Neodiprion lecontei: one gene and its partners. The main gene of each other region encodes a partner of the protein of the gene in region 2 in a complex. Links are inferred from orthologs where the notes say so. Each region holds a gene or a part of one and is shown on either strand. Other genes may lie near its edges. The genes, in order: unc-112-related protein, basement membrane-specific heparan sulfate proteoglycan core protein, integrin beta-PS and LIM and senescent cell antigen-like-containing domain protein 1.

Region 1 (4,914 bases), about 40 Mb from region 2:
TATTACGAGACTTGGACGTCGTTGTTTATACGCCGGGTTTGACAAACTCTTATTACCATACAATGCAGTTACGGGTCCCTAATTCTTACAATCAGCCATATGACGACGAGAGAGACTCTCTGCCTCCCCCCCACTGCTCGCGATAATTCGTACAATCATGCATTTACATTGGCCTTTAATACGCTATTTATATGTATAAAGAAATTACATCCGGCGGGAGGATTGCATGTGTATATGACGTACTACATGCCTGGGTGCGAGTGTGTAAGTATGTTTCGAGAGAAGAACGGTACAACGGAAAGCGCTGCAACAGAACCGTGACACATATCCTTTATTACGTGCATAGCGCGCAGTTGAAGAAAGTATTACAGTATGTACGATATTCTGTAAGCGCATCGACGCATAAATATGAAGGCGAGATGAACATTCGGAGGGATTTGACGAAATTGTGGTTTGAAAAGCACCTGCAGTTATACGCGACACAATATATACATAACGCGTAACCTGTCGAGGAACGCGCGCCACGCGTGTATACGTATACGCATGTATATCTGTAGGGTAGATTGTACGGGAGATCGGAGATAGAGATTATATCGCCCGTCGGGATTTCTACCTGCCGCTCTTCTTCTCGACGACCCCACGTGCATATAAGCCTCGTAACCCCTGAACCCCGAATACATCAAAGCCGATTCAAAGTATCACACACGAGTTCACACGGTGCGTAATGTTTGTTTCATTCGAAATACCGAGTACAGCCGACGAGTACGCTCTGCGTGCATATCGTTAGAAGAGTGCGATATTACGCAAAATGCGGATAGGAAGGGTTGTTTAAGGGGATGCCCTGGTCGGTTTCGACGTTGGACGTATATATCTCCGAGTATCGAAGTCCACGTATCTCAAACGCGAAAAAAGGGTTTAATAAGCCCCATTCGTTACACACGATACTGAACAAAAACACTCCAACGCATTTTCATTTAGACGCAGAAATAAAGTACTGGCACGATTTCCATGAAATCCCAATAGTAGATTCGTAGATTTCATGCCATTTCTTTATTTATTCGTCAGATGAAAACTCATCGGAGTGTTTCTGTTCAGAATTGTGCAGAAAATGGGGTAGTTTAGCCCTATTTCGCGTTTGAGATACGTGTACTTTGATACTTGAAGCTAGGTAGGACAACGTTGAAATCCACTGGGTCACCCCCTTGAGGAGCGATGAAGTTTTTACCACAAAGCCTGGCACGAGCACGGGTCTATTATCCAATATTATCTCCGTGTCGCAAGGTGTTAGTTTAAAATAAACGTGAAAGGGCGGAGGCGCGGGATGCCGTTGCATGCACACCGCACAGTATGTGCGTGCGTACGGGCATGTACGAGCTACATTGATATGTATATATATTATATACACATACATATATACACACAGATCTGGAGGAAGGGGAGGTGGTGCGTTTATAACGCAAGCCGGCGCGGCGTGCGGCCGCCTAGACAAACAACCAACGTTTCGTTTCTCCTCCTCGACTCGACTCGACTCGACTCTACGCCACGCCGAAAATACACCTTTGATGATGCCTGACGTTCGGTTCGGTCGGCCTGACTGCTTGCTTGCTTGCTTCGCTGCCTGCCTGTCTTACCGCCGATAAAATACGCGCGATCTCCCGGTTAATATCATCGTCCGATTCGGTTGTGCGTTAAACCCTGTCACAAGTCACGTAGCGCAAAACGACGGTCGCATGTGGGTTTTACTCGTTTTACTCCCAAGCATGTACGTACACGGTTTGAGACTGAGACGAGGAGACGGCGGTCAGTTACTACAGCGAATGGGTTTATTGAAAGTGTGCAATTGGCCGCGCCAACGGAGCGACGAGACGACGATGAGAACGGGCCGATTCAATTCGAGATGATGAGGCTGAAGTCTGTAACGTTAACGTAACGCGAAAGATCTGGGAAAAAAATCGTCGTTGCACAGTTTTAGAATGACTTTTCAAATAGTAAGCTTTTCGAAAATAAGAGTACATGTTTTGTTTATCGTGGTTTACTAAATTGCAGACATTACTAATAAATGGTGCAAAGTAACGATTTTTCCTTAACATGCATCGTTACAGTAACGTTACCAACTTCACGCTCATTATTCGAGGCGGGTCTTCTTCCGTAACGAAGCTCGTAATCGCGGGGGATCAGCTCGTCTCCTTGTGCTATTTTCGAGGCCGTAGGTTCATGACGCGATTTCTGAACCGAGTTTCGCGAGGTTAAAACTGTTCTTCTTCTTCTTCTTCTTCTGCTTCTTCTTCTTCTTCTTCTTCGAGAAAGCAAGAGAGGAGGGGATAGAGAGTGGGAGATTAAAGGCCGAAGATTAACGCCGGTCAACAGTAAAAATCAAGCCAGCGTAGACAAGAGCCGCGCTACCTGTACGGTCTCCGCAATGCGTCTCGCTCTTCCTCCTTTTTCTTCTTCTTCTCCTTCTTATTTTTCTTTTTCCATTTCCTTTTCTTCTTTGCAGAAGTTCGAAGAGCCCCGCAACGCAGGAACGGCGGCTCCAGCCATCCAGCGGCTGTCCGACCAAGAGTCAGAAGAAACAAGAAAACCGAGACGGCGGCGGCCTCGAGCGTCGCCTTATGTATAGTACACGCAACGACGTGTGTAAATATCGATGCGTCAGCGTTAATCTTGGAATAACTTCGAATGAACGAAGCGCGGCTGATGCTTGCACGGAAGCTACAGCCGGACCGAAGGAGTGCGGATCGAGTAAACACGCGGTGAAGAGACGGTGACGGGTGATCGGATCGTGATGCCGATTTTCACTTTTCGATACACAGGCATATGTGTGGTACGGATATATAGGAATATGGATATATATATATATATATATATAGAAATGCCTGTCGCTAATTGGCAATCAACTCACCAAGGTCTTCGACGAGACGAAGCATGACGCCACCGATGTGAAGTTCCCCCTTAACCCGGAGGCTTCTCTCGACCTGGAGATCGGTCACGAAGACGCGCAGCACCCAGCTGCCGTCGACCTCGTGTCCGTCGGAGTACATCCTGTTTAGCTGACGATGGCCTGCGAGCCGAGATATATACCTGCGAGCGAGCGAGCGAGTGAGCGATTCCGGATTTCAACGTTCGACGCACTTTGCCCGGCTGCCTGCCTTCTTCTCTTCCCTCTTCCCTCTTCCTCTGAGCCTTTGTTACGCTCTTCGAATCAAATCTCGCACTATAATCATGGCTGGAATTTCTCTTCGTGTAAAACTTTATCGAACGACGAGAACAAAACAAACGAAAAAAAAAAATAAAGAACAAACTTTTGCAATACCTTTGCGCGCGGTTTTATTTTATTTGCCTTCGGAAGGACGAAAATTCTATCCGCCTTGGAACGCGCGATCTTAACTCGACACCGACACACCGGATCTACGTTACTATATATCTTCAGCCTTTTTCCACGGCTTATCGACAAAAGTTTTCTTATCTCCCACTCGAGCGACCGTTACGCGACTCGACGACAAACCAGAATACTCCGGACGGCTCAGCGGTCTACGCCGTACAGAGCCATCCGTGCTTGTCCGTCCCGGTCCCCCCCTTCAGCCGCTTCGCCCAACATCCACGACCGACTTCCGTTAGCTCCGCATCCCGTTTTCGTTCTTGTTCATTGGTCGCCCACCTCGTGGCGCTGCGAGACGCATCTGATTGTAAGATCGAGTCCTACCTTACCGCACGCGGTAACTTGACGTTTGGTTACCCACGCCGTGGCGCTATTTTTGAATTCCGTACCTGAGTAATCGGGAAAACAGAGAACCGTGTTAAAATTTCGTACAACTATAAACGGTGTATAATATGAAAAATAATTATTACAAGATTTGCAATACGGTGTTTCTACTAACGAACCTTCCGATTAAGAACTACGATCGATTAATTGTTGCTTGTAATTCCTGCCAACCTATCGTACGGACTGCTGCAGCGTCGAAAAATGAAACTGCTTAGCGGGAGATAGTCGGATAAATACGAAACCTCGAAAATATGTACTTGGTATATGTACTTTACCCTTGCGAATTCACAGAATTCGCGACATTTTCTTTATTTCTGCGTCAAATGAAAATGTATCGGAGTGTTTATATTCAGAACTGCGTATAGAATGGGGTTGTTAAGCCCGTCTTCGCGTTTGAGGTACGTGGACTTTGATATTTGGAGATATATAAGTCGGCGTCGAAACCAATCAGGGCAACCCCTTAATATTATTAGATGCTTCAAAAATTTGTGCGGAGCATCGTTTGCAAATCTCAAATTTACAAAACTGACTGATTAATTTCGGAAACAACTATTTTTGGAAATACTTAAGGTTTTCCTGCGGGTTTTATAATAAAGCACTTGATCACAAGGGTCGATAAATTCATTTTCCCGTTCCATTCTCATTCGTGGACGAGGAGCGGAAATTTAATTATTTTCGCATTGACAGTACTGGGAAATAAATCTAACATCCGATCCCTTGTGTAATCAGCATCTAACAACACGCATGCCTTTTCCTTTCATACTGTATGCAGAGTCTGCGATACTATAGATATATAATAAATATTCATGACACAAGTACTTTTATACAGAGTAAACTAGTAAACATTTATGCAATAAAAAGTTTCAAGTTCCAAATTAATTTTCATCGAAAGGGCGGCGTTGTAGAATACTTGAATAATCTGCTCCCCTTACGCTAATACAGCTATAAATGAATTGAGTCTGCATCAACATTTCTAAATAATAAAACCGTATTCAGTTTGAAATTGTAGAAATAGGAGCGGGTAGCGCATAGTATTTCGAATTCCTATCAATAATTCATTGAAACGTGACCTTGTAGTGGCATTAACGTCGTTCTGTCCTTTCCTGTCCGCCAAAACATAGAAATCAAATCAAGTATCTGTCGCGGACGCT
Region 2 (4,761 bases):
CCTAATATTAGCCCCACAGTCAAGTAGGTGATTAAATGCCTGCCGTATAGGTTTTCACGCTCGCCGTTCAATGCGGCAGCCAGCTTCTGTATAATACACATGGCGATATATCTATGAATATCATCTATACGATTTCACTATACAGAGTGGCATTCCATCGAGATGAAGAAGTAAATAAATAAATGTATGAATAATGGTAAGCGGATTAAAATAGCGGTCAGACTATCGTTCCAAACTCTACAATTGTCATTAATTCGGAAACAATTCCCGAAGTTTGCGTATTGCTCTTGCAGTTATTTTTATAGTGGTACTCTACGATTGAACCTTCACGAACATTTTATCGCCTCGATTGAGCGGCGATTTATAGTTATAGTTTATATTTGATCTTTTTTTATTTTTTATTATTTTGCACAGTTATAAATTTGAGACATTCAGAGCTTGACACTTGAAATAGTTCACGGCGCAGTTCAAAGATGAATAGATAATCGACGATGATTTATAAAACTTGACAATTGATGACAATTTATAGGTGGATCAAGATTGGTGGGCGTAAATCACACGTGTGAATCCAAAGATATCCATTTCCGAAACGGAATGCTGGAATCTATTCCGATATGAATTTTGAAATAGTGATTTTAAGCAGGTTCCACAGTTAAATATCCGCAGTACTTGCTGATAATTTCATTACGAATTGGTCGCACGTTGCGTGTTTATCAAATTAACACATTCGTGAACTACGGTGATTTTTTCGAAGAAGTAAAACATAATTTTCAAAAGAGAGGACAGGTAACCATTTTTTACATCGAATTGCCTCAAGATACCGAAAATTTTTGTGTATTCTTTCGATTTCACTCTGCATGTGACGAGTGATTTTATCCTGAAATCAATTTTCGCTACAATCCCACTGTGACAGTTTTTGCTTCCTTATCACGTTGGTACCGTAAAACATGTAATTCCGCAATACCGATCTGACATCGATTCGGCTCAACAAGTAGCAATTAAAAATTGGACATTCATCGAAAAAAGAAAAAACAAAAAAGAAATCCACTTCGGAAAATTTCTAAGTAACGACTTTTCAAAGGGCGAGAACAAAAAAAAAAAAAAAAATCATCAGGTCGTGAAATTGAACAAGTCTAAAACATTTTTCATAAAATCGATATCGAAATTGTGTCTCATAATTTCAGCAACTTTTTGCTCGTTGAATTTCTAGAATACCCAGCATCGCAGCTTACGAACGTAACAATTTGTTGAATGCTCCGTGAAAGCGTTTCCAAAAAATCTCGATATTCAATCCGTCGCAACGTTGCGAAAATCGAACGATCGAAGGGTAACGAACCCGTTGAGTCGGTGCTAAACCGTTTGGCGTAAACTGGTCCGGACAGAAGAGGATCGTCCGGCACCTTGACCGGTAACCGGCTGAACCGGCAACGCGCGCACCGAGCGTTCAGAACAGATCGGATCGGACCGTCGCGTCGTCGAGTGTGCGGCTGCCGAACGGAGCGGCGGGGCGGCTCCTGGAGCGAAAAGCGATGCTTGCGAGGTGGCGCAGGAAGGGGGGGGGGGGGGGGGAGGGGGGATGGACGAAGGAGGGGGCGCCACAGCCGAACCTGAACCTCGGCGGTTCGCCGCAAGGGGGGGGGGGGGGGGAGGCGAAACGGGTGGAGAGGGAACCACCACACGGGGCTTTTGAAAATGTTTTATCTTAGCCGGCGCGCACGGCTCTCAGACGCTACCCAACGCCGGTACGGTGTGGTGTGATCGTTGAAGCTGCAGAGCGTGACGACGAGCAGCGTCTGCGGTAGAGAGATTCGTTCTAAGGAGTCGGATTCGATCAGGTCTGCAGCGAAAAATTCGCGGGGTTGTTACGGAGCTGGGTGGAGAGAGAGAGAGAGAGAGAGAGAAGGTAGAGACGGCGGGTAGATTAGGAGGCGCGGTAAATTTGAAAACGGTTACGAAGGAACGACCAGTAAACAGGAAAATACGTCAACCATGAACCGTTGTCGCTGAAAAGTTTCGACTGACGGTTCGAAATCATCGCGCGGGTTTCCATCGACGGTTTTTCGTACTGCTGTCGCGGTAATAGATATAAAAAAAAAAAAAACAGAAATAACACCTTTGACCAGGCTGTCGAACCGTTCGCTTTTCGGCGATCGGTAATTCGCCCTTTCGAGATGACCACCAACGGCAGTGTTTTACTCAGGAGTGCTCTTCTCGCAGTGCTACTCGCCGCTTCCTTCGCTTCGGCATCCTTCGAAGAGGTGAGTTCATTACACACGTTTCTCATCGATATAGAACTTGATGGATGTATGTGTATATAGGTATATATACCGTCATCGCGATGATTCTACAAGAATTGTAAGTCTGGTTTTAGAAAATCGATAATCAGTTTTATACTGTATTTCCCTCCCCACGATTTACCTCGAAAAGTGCCGGGTCCTTCTTAAACCCGACAGTCAACGTTTTCATTCAATCACATTTCGTTCCTGAGAACCATATCCGTATGGATAATAAATTGTTCTTTCAAATTTGTCAAATTGCGCATACACAGGTATCGGTTAAATACCAGAGCTTGATAATCGATCACCCACCAAGTACTCGTCTCGCTCTATTTCCATCCGAAAGTGCAGGCAAAGAGATGTTGGAAACAGGTTGAAACCGATTGAGAAAATGAAGAATTGAATAGTACGAGTATCCGCACCATTTCTTTTAACGTAACCGTATCGCAATTCCCGCTGTATAATCACTTTACAATATATCACGACGAAAAGGAACTAAAAATATAATCGTACGATAGAAAATAGGAGGAAAGGGGAAGGAGGTAACTGGGCCGCTTATTAGGTCGGACGATAACGATGCGGTTACATCTGCGGGGCTATCGATCACACGTGCTTTCGTTTTATCGATGACGGATCCGAGCGATTGTGATTTGGGAATCGCAGAAATCCTTGTTGCGATTACACGTCTGCAAATGGCCTCCGTTGTACGAGCCGCGACGGTAACGTGAAGGGTATCGACACATACAGTCTAGAACTCGGATTATCCGTCGTAGCAATTGAAGTGTAACACACTCAGGGGTATCCGTTTCTACGTCTCGGACTGCATCAAGTTCGACGCACCCTCGAGTTTGAACAGAATTAAGGCTTCCTTCATCCGATCATCCTGCGGCTGTCGCTGATGGATCAGCCCTGGTCTCCGACCGGAAGTAGCAAAGTGCGAAAATTCCCGGAGACACTGACAAAGCGTCGAAACAAGTTCGCGATGATAGTTCGGAGATGAAAGATCGTTGCGACGCGTGGTTACCTTCTACTTAATGAGAACGGAAAAGCAAGGTGGGGATAAAAATGTTAGAAATCAGAAAGATTACCGCATCGGTTTCTCTAAAACGCGAAAATCTATTTTGTACAATGATTTCGAAGTATGTGCAGAAAATTCTGCTGTATTCCAAGTCATTCTGACGTTTCTGCATCGTGGTTTGGTTCTGTACTTTGATCTTTTCACATTTCGACATTATGGATTTGAAAAATACTATAAATAAAAATAAATCTTGGCCCTATGACCCTTGAATTTTATGGATCTCTGTGAATCTCTACCCCCACCCGGAAAATCATGTAGGAACAGAAGGAATGGGGAAGTCTTATTCTCGCGTGCATCGTAGCACGTGCGTCCGGCATTTCTGGTGAACCTCTGGATATCGAGGTCGATTGACAGGTAGCTCGGGATTTACCTCCCAAACAACATGGAGACGCCTATTGCGTGGCAGCCGTGAACATCTGTATCAACATGTGCCCAGTACCTAAAACCGACGGTATTGAAACGATACCTTTGCGGAGAACGCGGTTCACAACTGATTGTTGTGAACCGCAATTTGTTTAGCAGTACTTTTACCTCGATTGGAAGTATGTCGCTCGGTTGGTGTCATGTTAACTCGTAGGCAGCGTAGGTTTCTTCTTCGTCTGATACCTAATAATGTACCTTAATTAATTTGCCCGAAATACGACGGATCGTCAAAATTTGACACTTTCCATGATGGGCAGAAAATTGGCCCACGGAAATTACTCGACTCAGAGACGTGATAGCATATCGCATACACGCCACATCTGGTCTTCCTCATTAAGTATTTCGCAGTGTTATTGCATAATTCGTTCATCTGGATCCGATATTTTCATCTGATTTTATGCTATTTTAAGAATCTTGAAGATCGTGAACGATGATATTTGGAAATTGAGGAATTGAGCTGCTTATTTATGGTTTTATTTTCGATCTTAGTCTGCGTGTAATCAATACCGATTTCAAATATAAAATAGGTAAGAAAAAGAGTTCGCTCTCATATTTCGTTCCTCGAAATATCCTATACCGTTGAAGTTTCGTTCGCTAAAATAAGGTTCCATCAAGCGTAGCTTTTTCGTAATCAACGGTAAGATAACAGGCCTGCGGAATAGAACTTTTAATATCTCCCGAATAGTAATAATGCTTTTTTCTAGGTATTTAGATATGCTGAATTAAAATGTAGCGAAAGTTTTTTTTACACCGTATCGAGATTTATTCTTATGCAAGATACGCATATTTATAAATTTTTGAACAATGTTTATAAAAAAAAAAAAATATATCAAATGTAAAACTTTTTAAGTATAAAATTAATGGCATTAGTTTTAAACAACACTTAAGAGACTTGTGACATCTTTTTCTACTTTCTTCAAAATTCCTGTTCAATCTTTTTCTCTTGTACTTACCTTGATCTAAATATGCTTAACGTCCTCATAA
Region 3 (4,923 bases), on a different chromosome or scaffold from region 2:
GTAAATTCGGTAAATATATAGCGGCGTGTGAGGTTGATCTCGTGAAGAATAAAAATAGAATATTCGATATTTCGAATTTGCTGACGTTGGTATAGATTTTCAAAGCTCTCGACTTACCCTCTACGATTGAATTTCGGCATTCCAAAGTAGATAGATCAACAGATAATCACAAACCACACCTCCAGTTTTGATTTTTCATTGGTATTCGGGTATTATTCAGTCTAATTTCCGATAAATCGTACACTTCTGCGTATAATGTGGTGTGTAATTACGATGACAGGTTTGACAGCAGGATGTAGCAGACAGAATCTAGGGATTTTTTTTCTTTTTCTTTTTATTAGTCATCGCTTGCGTTTTGAAGCGAGATATTACGATTTGACCCGCGAAAATCAAATAAGAACAAAAAAAAAACCACGGCCATCAAGAATAGGAATTTGATTATTTATTAATTGAATAAATTCCTTTTATTACAGTTTTAGTCATTTGTTTCGGTCAATGCCGTCGCTTCAGCCTCTCGCCTTTTACAGATTTGGATTGCTGTGATGAGTCGCGCTGCACGGTTCATGTTCTCTTCGAGTTCTTTATAATTACAATTTACCTCGCTGGCGATTTGTTGCACCTCTTGAAGCGTCTGAGAACCAAGAAAAGGATAGTTGAAAATACAGTTTGAGTTATGAGTTTTTTTTTATGACGGTGCAGTTCAAGTTGTCAAAGCTAACCTTCTTTATGTTCCGATAAAGCTTTGCTGTTTTTTCCTCGTCGAATTGGCGTGCGTATTGTACATAGCTGCCGGAATAAGAGGAAAGTGTGTCACTCATGATACATGTAGAAACTATATTTGTACAATAAATGAACTATAGGATTTTATCAGGATATTTTGATTTCTTGACATGCGTTGTTTCCCTCGCAAATGAAGCTGTCAACACAGGCTGTCAAAATATATCAATATGGCGGGCAACGTATTTTTACACAATTCCATTTCCGGATTTCAAATACGACTGAATTGTAAGGTTACATTACGTCCAGTATTTTCAGAACTTCGGGCACAGACTTGCTAGCTTATGGCATAAATTAATTTTAGACCCTGCTCCTATATGTATATAAATAATAATATCAACTGTGGTTGCGGGATGCGAATTGTAGATAAGAAAAACTATCGAGTAACACCGTACCTGCGTGATTGTCAGTCACTGTTTCAAAAACTTATAAGGAAAATTTGCGATTTAAAAAACTAATTATAAACTCTACATTAAGCAGTTCTGTTTCTGTGAAGTTCAGTTTTTTCGATATACTGATATACACGATGTAAAATTTAGTAAGTGCGTATATAAATTGTTTGCAAATAGGGTTTCTGGGTGCACTGAAGGCGCATAATTAAAATCCGAATACGTAACATTTGCAGCTTACTTGCGAAACACGAACCTTATATGCATGCAAAGTTGTATTATGTTTCAAGATTATTTAGATTTTGTAGCCGCAGCTGAATGATCGCATCATCATTGAACGATGACTAATTCGTCGCTGATTTCCCACCGGAAACTAGCGGATACGCGGTTGTGGTACAGATACTTAGTAATCAACATATAAGGCAGGATTGGAGAAATATTATACAACATACATACTCCTGTGAACAGTCGGCGAGGTTGGGCGCAAAAATAGTCGTATAGTCGCGTACCGAATTAGTACACTAGACATCATCATTAGAGCTGAATAAGCTTATTTGAATTTCCCGCTTATTTGGAAAGTGCATTCGGCGAGATGTAACGAGCGCGTTATCGTGAATAATCGGATAATCTCGGGTCTTTCTCGGGTGCATACGGGACGGATGTGAGTTCATCGATATAACAATACTCGCATATGCTCAATTCGAAATAACTCTTCTGATATTTTGTCCAACTCTAGTGACCAGTCGTCTACCCGACGTTGAACGAACGGCTCGTTATTGAGTCGTTATTCCGTGGCGGTGTGGGGTTGCCTTTTATGGTGATCCAAAGTTGTGAAATTATTTCTTCGGAGTTTGTGATGTTATAAGGACAGCCGATAATCACCTTCAAATCTAGAAAGTAAGAAATGTATATCAAATTTCATATCCGGCCTTACCGAGTTAAAAATACGTATATCAAATTTATGGTTCACGGATTCTCATCTCCGTAACCTTTTTCATGCTAATGCGGTGTCTTGTAAATATAGAGATGACGGCATTAATGGATGGGTAATCGAGACGTGTTCTCAAACCTAAATGATCTGCAAGTGGAACAAATCTTTGTCCCAAAAATATCACCGTTATCACCCTTCGATTTACTGGGCAAAAACCTTATTCTTAAGGGACAAATATAGCGTGGGAGAACTGGTTTTCGGCCGCACCTCACTCGCGCATTTCACAAGTACAAATACCATTTATGACAACGTTCTACGAAACGAAAGCGCTTCTTGTTATTAATGTGCGTCACAAGAAGTAGTGAGGAAATATCAATCCTTCGATCAAATCTAAGAAACATTTGATTTAAAAAATTTCCTCGACCCTGCAAGTCAAACGGATCCATCTCTTAAATTTAATTAGATAATTAAACAATTACTGAAATAAAATTTCACGTTTTCATTAGTACCGAACAATCGCTACACCCGTTTACAAATTAGATACATTGTTTTGCTTGTTGTCAATATTCTCAACCTATTATTAATTATTATACAATCAGATGTCGCTCTTGTTTATAAAATTTGCTAATATGGATGCAAAAATGTTGTATACGCCATTCATGCGACCATTTGTTTGGTAAAAAAATGTGATATCCAAAAACAAGTTTGTAAGAAAATGTTTCAGTTCTATATAGTGAATCCATTATCTTACTTTCTTGTTTGCACTTTTGCTCTTGAGATAAGTATGCATGTTTCCAGCTTGTGTTCTTAAACGTAGCAGTATAACGTATTATTTTGGTATTCAGTTACAATTGAAAATTTTCAGTGATTTTTCCGTAATCTAGGGATGAGGAAAAGTAATTTTTAATCAAATTTATTGACATTGAATCATGTATATCGGATGATTTCATGCCAATAATCATTCACGTACGAATATGACCAACCAGATACCATCATCACAGCATGTGATATTACCAAGTAAAAGTATGATGTCTTACCTTTGGCTTACTAAGAAAATCTGACTCAGCAGCTTAATAATAGACTCCTGTTGCTAAATGTGAGGGTGTAGAAATAAGAATCCTAACTGACCAAAGAAGTATTATATTTAGCTACAATGATAACATTAATTGGTATTATTAATTTTTACTTAAATATGTCAATTTTGATTACTTTATGCAATGCACGATGCCGGTACTTTGCAAAATAAAACGGATAATGTTTCATTGTACATTTATTGTGGTGGGTTTTTTCAATGGTCAGTGTACTTATCATCGAGCTGATTCATTGGAATTCATTTCATCTTAAATTTTACATTTCTTGTACTTTTATTTTATACTTAATTTCATTATCCTCTTGCTGTACAAAGTAATTTACACTTTACTAGAATGCGTATTATTTCTCTCTTAGTTTCACATATATCTACCAGTTTCTTTCAATTATTATTCCAAGTAGACAGCATAATCTGTTTTCATGTTAATTTTCAACTGTCACACGATATCCTTATAAGGCTTTCTGTATAACCACATATGGCTAACCAGGAATACGTAGGGCAACTGAATGTCAGAAGATAACGTCTATTTATTTAGAATTAATATTCTGCTAACTTTGTTACAAGACTGTATTCAGGAATTCACACGCTTGTAAATAAATTTTAAAAAATTTGACTCTTCAGTATTGATATCGAAAGGTGTAATTTGTTGCATAGTAATGTTTAGTACCATTGTGTACTATTGTGTCAATGAAGTTGCCTTTTTATTTTAGTAGGATTTTCAATTTCATCATAATTAACAGATGCGGCATTAGATTCAAATTTCCTTTGCTTAATACTTTTATATTGGTTTTTTATTTTGCGATTGCATTGAATAAGGGCAATCCTTTTCAATAAACTGTGCAGTACAGCGGTTCTGAATTTGTTGAGGTATGAATTCATACTTGTTCGGTTGCAGTGAAATATGCAGAATGTAACACATATCCATTGATCTACAGGGATGTTTGGCAGCTTAGAATGGGCCCTGGCCCTTGTCACAGCGATAGTTTTTGTTGCTGTCAAAGCTGACTACCCTCTACCTGAAAGACTCACTGGAATGAATCCCTGTATCAGCAAGCAAACCTGCCACGAATGTATACAAACTCCACATTGTGCTTGGTGCGCTGCTCCTGTAAGTTGGATAATTTTTTTCTATGTTAACAAAAAACCCTATGTAACGGAATGGGCTACCCTGTTGTTACATCTGTAAGTATATGTAAAATATGTATTCCTATGTTCACAGAAATTTTCGGAGATGAGGTGTTTTTTGCCAAACATAAACACAAAAATATATGCTACGTGCCCAAAGAAATATACGCGGTATCCGAATAATGTTTATGATGTGATTCGGCACGCGGAATTAACAAAGGGTGGTTATTCATCTGTAGCAGGTGGTAGTGAATTTGAGCAAAGTTCATCCTCTTCTTCGTCTTCCTCATCGTCTTCCTCAAGCTCTAGCTCTAATCATACGAGTTCTAGCAGTGGTAGTAGGAGACAGGAGGCGATTCAAATCTGGCCTCAAGAAGTCGATTTGACCCTTAGGATAAGTGAGTGAGATTTTTCAAATTCCAATTATTGCTAATTGTTGACAATTTTGCTATTTCCTGAATTATTAACAATATTTTTTACCAGTGAATTTTATTCTTATATGCAATAATTACTTCATTCGTCTTTTCCATTGCTTTAGATGAGGTGCATACTATGTCTTTTTCATACTCTCAAGCCGAGGATTATCCAGTTGATCTTTACTACCTCATGGA
Region 4 (6,474 bases), about 31 Mb from region 2:
TATAATCCATGCTCTTTCTTCATTTACGCATTAAATGAAAATGTATTGGGGTGTTCTTATTCAGAATAGTGTATAGAATGGGGTGGTTAATCCCTTTCTTGTGTTTGAGATACGTGGACTTCGATATTTGGAGATCAACGTCGAAATCGACCAGGATACCCTGTTTCTCATTTTCTCGTTAAATGACTCGTAGATCACAGCATTGAAGTTTACTAAAAACAGCCAGTCAGCTACGAATAGTCTTCTAAAGCAACTAAAAGGGCACAACTAGTGCGAGGGTAATGGCAGTGCCCTACACTTACCAATTCGCTTATGGGACTTACCCGAGCTCATGAACGTCCGTTAAACCGGACGTTCTTGAATTCGAGGATTACAATGTTATTTGGGTCGGTAACTGTAAGAACTTTCTGTACTTAAGTATTCCCTTAGCATCCCTCGCCTAGTTGCTTCGAGCTATGCTCCAGTTCAAAATACTCCATTCAGCTGACTGTCCTTAGCAGTCTTCAGCAACAATCTTCAGTCAACGATTACGGTGAAACAAATTGAAACATGTGACTACGTATATATTTAAAATGATTAACTATATTTCTCACCCCGTGGTGACATATATGTTATAGTTGCGGCAGCAAATTTTTACTTATTAATTTATTTGAATTTCAGGTTACAAATTAACGATATGATACAAAAATAATAATATCATTATAGTAAATAACAATATAATTTGAGAAATATTTAGAAATCACTTTGCCGAGGTTCATCGTGCTATAATTTGAATCAGAAATTATACGACAAACGGCAAAAGTCTTCGTAATCCGGATCTTTTTCCACTTAATCGTAACCTTTTCCATTTTGAGCAGCTATTACTTTGTTCAGCAGATTTGTACAGTTCATATTACTTGGTCAGATGGCGAGCGCGGGCATGTGTCGAATTTCAAAAATAGTTAAACTGCTTCCATGTGTATGTGCCGCGTGATTACATACACCTTTAAAACCAGCACTAAGCGCTAGGGGGTAAGGTTAGCTGTTCTTCGATTCGTTTCAGCATACACCGCTGCTGTACATACCTATACTATAACTGCATTATACGAAGAAAATCGGTGTCGTAAGTTGTTGGGAGTCGTGAAGTAAAGTACGAAATCACGAAATCTCGCCACCACATCCGCCCACAGATTATCCATACATACATATACATCTTTAAAAGGATAGAGTTAATTCGCCGTCGTCTCATTGGCTGAATGGGTAGAACGGAAAATAATTATTTTTACTGAATTGGGCGTGTAAGCTTCTCCAGTCTTCGCTAATGACAACGAATTAATCGTTACTATAAGTTGTCTGTTTGTATACTATCTACTAGGTAAGTAACCCAATATCTATATACCGCTTATAGGTATAACCTGTAGTGTACAAACATATTTGTAAGCCAGATATTTTTCGTGGATTACGTAGTTTCACAAATATTTCTTTGAATACGCAAATCGCGATTGTTGCTAGATGATAAGAATGGCAGTGTACGTTTATGTAAAACGACTGGGTGGGACGCGTACCGCAGTGTATAATACGTATAATGTGAGATCATGTGCGAGAAGTAAAAATCGTCTGAGCAGTTTTGTGTATCCGTGAATCCCGTTCTAATTGCAGAAACAACGAAGAGGCGAATATAACGAGTGTCAGGGTGCTGGAGCCAAATTCTCCAGTCCCACCTCAGTTTCTAATCCATATATTATCTTCTTCTTTCAAGTATCACACCAAACAAATTATGCCAGGGTAAGCAATGCTGTGTTGCCTATTTTTAGCATTGACTTCATCCAATTTCATAGACTTAACATACACTAAACCTTATCACATCCAGTTTAATTACATATATATCGCTTAAATCAATTTAAAAAATGAATTACACATCAAGTGAACACGCCTTATTCACATTTTGTAGTAACTTTTCATAAATCCCTAATAAAATTGCTTCATGACATGTTGAATCCACCCAAATGTTTCGTAACATTTTTTACTCCGATATCTCGGCATGGAATTTATGTATTATTCTGTACACTCCCATTCATTGTTGTATTAATAAAATTGTATGAACTTATTAATCTGTGCTACTTGAACATTTCAGTACACGATAGCTCCAGATATTAATTGATATATTTACATTTGCCGCGTCAGATGCAGTTCTGATTCATGTTACCAAAGTACCGATCCATTGATCCAGCTTGATCATGAATCCAAGTGGTCGTTAAAATCCGAAGTTCTCATAACAAATGAATATATGTCAATGGAATATTTAACCGTTTGTTAATCATTTCGTAACCTTGGATAGCTTACAAAGTCTCATTTACTCCAGAGAAACTTATTTCATCGAAGGTTAATGGTATTTTATATTCAGAAGTATTATTTGACATTGTTCATGTGTTTTAAACTATGCGCATTTCATCACGATTGGGTATTCATATTGTTTTTATAATAACATGTCAACTGTACAAACATATTTTAGAATTAAACAGAAACAACTTGATTTTTTAACCTTCGATACGCTTTACAATTTTACTGTTTGACGCCGAATATACTTTTCTGCTGTGTGATGTAACTCAATTCTATTGCATTACTCACATGATGATTATATTGAAGCCCGTTAGTCAGCTGTGCTTAATCAGCATTAATTATTACACCGAGTGGCAAGTAGGTGTATAACTAAAACAGATTCTATTTGAGGAATAATATTTGGCACCTGTATTAGAAAAGCTGACGATCCACTTCTTATCTACCCTGAAGTTTTATCTATTATATCAAACAGAGACGACTACGAGATAACATATCAATCCATACATACCCGAACAACTGAATCGTTCTTTGGTTAAGTAAAAAGAATGGTGTTTAATAAGGATGGAAAAGCTTGAATGCTAAATTGTGGTTTGATTAAAGTTTTTTTATTGTCAATTACGAAGTTTCGATGTGCTACATTGAATTTTTAAGACTTCAGAATGGCCCGAAACAGTGATACTCTTCCATTTCCTACGTCTATATCAATACAGTCATTAGATCACAGCAAATTATATAATAGGCGTGCACAATCCCGCGAAAATTTAGTTGAGAAAGAAATTACCAATGACTCGAACAGCAATCAATCTACTTTTGTATATGACTACGAAGAATTGGCTGAATGGAAGGGTTTTGATAAACCTCCTAAACTCCCGCCAAGGAATTTTAAAAATGCTTACTGTGACACTAATGACCTTAAAAAACAAACAACAAACAAGACAGGGTATATAGAAAAAGAATTATACTCATTAACTATTCTATTAACTGATTTTAATCGTCAACTTCATGCAATCACTGAATATTCTGTAACCAAATTCAGTGACATCATTGGTCCATTAAACTTTGATACAGAATGATGTTATATGTCCAAGACAGCAAATTTCTCTCCATCATTAATATCATTCATTTTATTACAGAGTCACAGGGATGTCTCTGGATGACATGTTCTGCTCCCGCTGTCGCGAGGGATTCGAGCCGCACGAGAAGATTGTCAATTCTCGCGGAGAATTGTGGCATCCGCAATGTTTTGTGTGAGTAACACTTTGGAATGGAATTGAAACTATAAAACCACCGGAATGTTTATCAATGGTTGAAGTTTTAGTCTCCAGCAAAGTTATGATAGAATTATTTAAATTGAGAATTTTTCCAAACGATCAATTCACATATAATGATCACAAACTATTTTGATTCTTGATATAATATATACAGATTTTCCTTTTCACAGTTGTGCACAGTGCTTTCGCCCTTTTCCCGAGGGTATTTTCTATGAGTTTGAAGGAAGAAAGTATTGCGAACATGATTTTCATGTTCTATTCGCCCCTTGCTGTGGCAAGTGTGGTAAGTTGTATACATAAGATTCATTATAAGGTTTTGTTATATGTCAGATATTTTCCGTTAGTTCGGCCACTTGTTCCTGGATCGTCAAGTCAAGAGTGATACGACTAACATTATTGAAAACAGTTCCTTGAGTTTCGTTCAGATAAACATTCAACTAGATCCATTCTAGAGGCAAATTCAATTTCAGGTGAATTTGTCATTGGAAGAGTAATCAAAGCCATGAATGCTAACTGGCATCCTGGCTGCTTCCGTTGTGAGGAGTGTAGCGGTGAACTAGCAGAGACTGGTTTCATGAAATGCCAAGGAAGAGCATTGTGTCATACCTGTAACGCTCGAATAAAAGCTGGGGCTCTTGGAAAGCATATCTGCCATCAATGCCAGTAAGTATTTATTTTTTAGAATTTTCTTGTTATTCAGATAGTTTAAAAATAACTAGAATATGTATATTGTAGTATAATTTTCTACTAATCATTGACTAAATAATATTTCTATCTATAGTGGAATAATCGACGACAAACCGCTGCGTTTCCGTGGTGAAGTATATCATCCCTACCATTTCAACTGCACGGCTTGCGGGATTGAGTTGAATGCTGATGCCAGAGAAGTTAGGTCCAGGCCTGGATTTGCGGCTAATGAGATGGTATTTTGGCATTGAATTTTTTTCTTTTCATACGTAAGCCACAGCTGAACAGCTGTGTTTCATATCGATACTCGTATGTTGTCACTACCCTATATTGACTGACAACAAAATAAAGCCCTTCAAAGTCGGCCTGGCGCATGTCTCATTTGTTTTCATATTTTTTACATCAATTATAACATTAGAGCTATCTGCTGAGATAAATGCCTACTTTTAATTTCCTGATTTAAAGATGCTACAACATTAACATACCTGCTTGATATAAATGCATACATCATGTATTTTACAGAATGAACTATATTGTCTGAGATGTCACGACAAAATGGGAATACCGATCTGCGGAGCTTGCCGGCGTCCGATAGAAGAAAGAGTTGTCACTGCCTTGGGAAAACATTGGCACGTGGAACACTTTGTTTGTGCAAAGTGCGAGAAGCCATTCTTAGGTCATCGTCACTACGAGAAAAAGGGCCTTGCTTACTGTGAGACTCATTATCACCAGCTCTTTGGAAACCTATGTTTTGTTTGCAACCAAGTAATTGCTGGAGATGGTAAGTTTTTATTGTTTTTTTACAACTTGGTAAAGATTTCGAATATCATACAGTGGTCACTTTGATTCTTTGATTACTCCTAAGTCGTTTCCTTATTTATTGACCCAATCTTTCTTTGATTGGATTACTTCAGCATGAGTGCCTATCGTTTATAACATTTAGTAGATAGCACCTTGTTCTAATTTCCAGTAAAATTTTCAACTAGTCTGCAGTGGATACTTTCCAATAATTACCAGCAATTAAATTTTTGCCAATCAAATACTAGAAAAGTATTAGACAATTGAATTTCACTTACAATTCGTTGCAAAATAGTAGAATAATTACTATCAAACTTTGTCTTCTTGCAAATTAGTGAAAGCACTTTTTCTTATTGCAAATTACGAGAGTCTAGTACTATATTATTATACCTAAATAACAAATTGAACCATAACTTTACGAGGAGTATTATTCGAATAAATGTCACAATAATTTATATTTATGTTAATCTTCTGATTAGTAAATTGCTGCAGTTTACTTTCATCATAGTTTAATAAAATTCGCAGCAACAGAATTACATTTATAATTCGACAAGCCTCATATGTTTATAATTAAAATTAAGTTGTAAGTTTTTTACAAATCATTCTTTATTCCATTTTATTTGCAGTTTTTACGGCATTAAACAAAGCATGGTGCGTACATCATTTTGCTTGCGCATTTTGTGACCAAAAGATGAACCAAAAGACAAAATTCTTCGAATTTGACTTAAAACCCGCTTGCAAGAAATGCTACGAGAAATTTCCCCAGGAATTGAAAAGGCGTATGCGTCGTATGTACGATTTAAATCCAAAAAAAATACCTGCCTAAACAAATAATAAAATACTTTTACCAGATGTGTTTAAAAAAAAGTACATGTATGTTTATATATTTATTGTGCTTAGCAATTGCCGTTTAAAATTACATTAGACAAAGATCATTCTTTGAAGAAGTAATCAAAGTAAAACGTAACATTGATTAAATTTGTCCCCAAGACTACAAAAATATTTTATATAACTGACTTTATTTTTAAGTAAATATTTATCACGTAATGGAAAAATATTACTTGGCCAACTAACGCGCATCTTCTAATTATTCGATATGTACTGTTCGCATTCTGATATTCGGATTTTTCCAAGTATACCTAGAGGATGAACAACCATTTCGATCTAATATTGAAGCATTCTCAAATGTTCGTGCCTTACACCTAGCTTAGGAATAGAAAAAGTATCGCTTATCATAATTCGCAGTAATTATCTTACATTTGACTGACGAGTTATTAATGCATCATAATATACTACACAAATAATTATACAAACAGAAATTTTACACGTATACAGTATCCACACAATATACATTATAATGCTGATCTGTGAATATTTTCATCACTTTATAGTGGGAGTC

What was found.
Region 1: basement membrane-specific heparan sulfate proteoglycan core protein (region 2) and unc-112-related protein share a complex: the UniProt entries of both Caenorhabditis elegans proteins name them as parts of the integrin containing attachment complex. The link is inferred for Neodiprion lecontei from reciprocal best matches to the Caenorhabditis elegans genes unc-52 and unc-112.
Region 3: basement membrane-specific heparan sulfate proteoglycan core protein (region 2) and integrin beta-PS share a complex: the UniProt entries of both Caenorhabditis elegans proteins name them as parts of the integrin containing attachment complex. The link is inferred for Neodiprion lecontei from reciprocal best matches to the Caenorhabditis elegans genes unc-52 and pat-3.
Region 4: basement membrane-specific heparan sulfate proteoglycan core protein (region 2) and LIM and senescent cell antigen-like-containing domain protein 1 share a complex: the UniProt entries of both Caenorhabditis elegans proteins name them as parts of the integrin containing attachment complex. The link is inferred for Neodiprion lecontei from reciprocal best matches to the Caenorhabditis elegans genes unc-52 and unc-97.

What each region holds. Positions count from the first base shown.
Region 1 is NC_060263.1:391,963-396,876, reverse strand, and holds the start of unc-112-related protein, read right to left. Parts: upstream 3,042-4,914; coding exon 2,903-3,041; intron 2,825-2,902; exon of another isoform or gene 2,498-2,824; intron 2,406-2,497; exon of another isoform or gene 1,553-2,405; intron 1-1,552. UniProt on the Caenorhabditis elegans protein: Component of an integrin containing attachment complex, which is required for muscle development and maintenance. Probable regulator of cell-extracellular matrix adhesion. Required during initial muscle assembly to form dense bodies and M-lines.
Region 2 is NC_060263.1:40,499,059-40,503,819, reverse strand, and holds the start of basement membrane-specific heparan sulfate proteoglycan core protein, read left to right. Parts: upstream 1-1,720; 5' UTR 1,721-2,171; coding exon 2,172-2,258; intron 2,259-4,761. UniProt on the Caenorhabditis elegans protein: Component of an integrin containing attachment complex, which is required for muscle development and maintenance. Probable structural role in myofilament assembly and/or attachment of the myofilament lattice to the cell membrane.
Region 3 is NC_060261.1:40,087,483-40,092,405, reverse strand, and holds the start of integrin beta-PS, read left to right. Parts: upstream 1-1,911; 5' UTR 1,912-2,063; intron 2,064-4,122; 5' UTR 4,123-4,124; coding exon 4,125-4,295; intron 4,296-4,406; coding exon 4,407-4,710; intron 4,711-4,850; coding exon 4,851-4,923. UniProt on the Caenorhabditis elegans protein: Integrin alpha ina-1/beta pat-3 is a receptor for laminin. Integrin alpha pat-2/beta pat-3 recognizes the sequence R-G-D in its ligands. Plays a role in cell migration, morphogenesis and probably in cell-cell interactions.
Region 4 is NC_060263.1:9,168,666-9,175,139, forward strand, and holds LIM and senescent cell antigen-like-containing domain protein 1, read left to right. Parts: upstream 1-1,849; 5' UTR 1,850-2,978; coding exon 2,979-3,259; intron 3,260-3,452; coding exon 3,453-3,566; intron 3,567-3,760; coding exon 3,761-3,873; intron 3,874-4,060; coding exon 4,061-4,253; intron 4,254-4,371; coding exon 4,372-4,513; intron 4,514-4,799; coding exon 4,800-5,058; intron 5,059-5,701; coding exon 5,702-5,901; 3' UTR 5,902-5,933; downstream 5,934-6,474. UniProt on the Caenorhabditis elegans protein: Component of an integrin containing attachment complex, which is required for muscle development and maintenance. Probably function in adherens junction.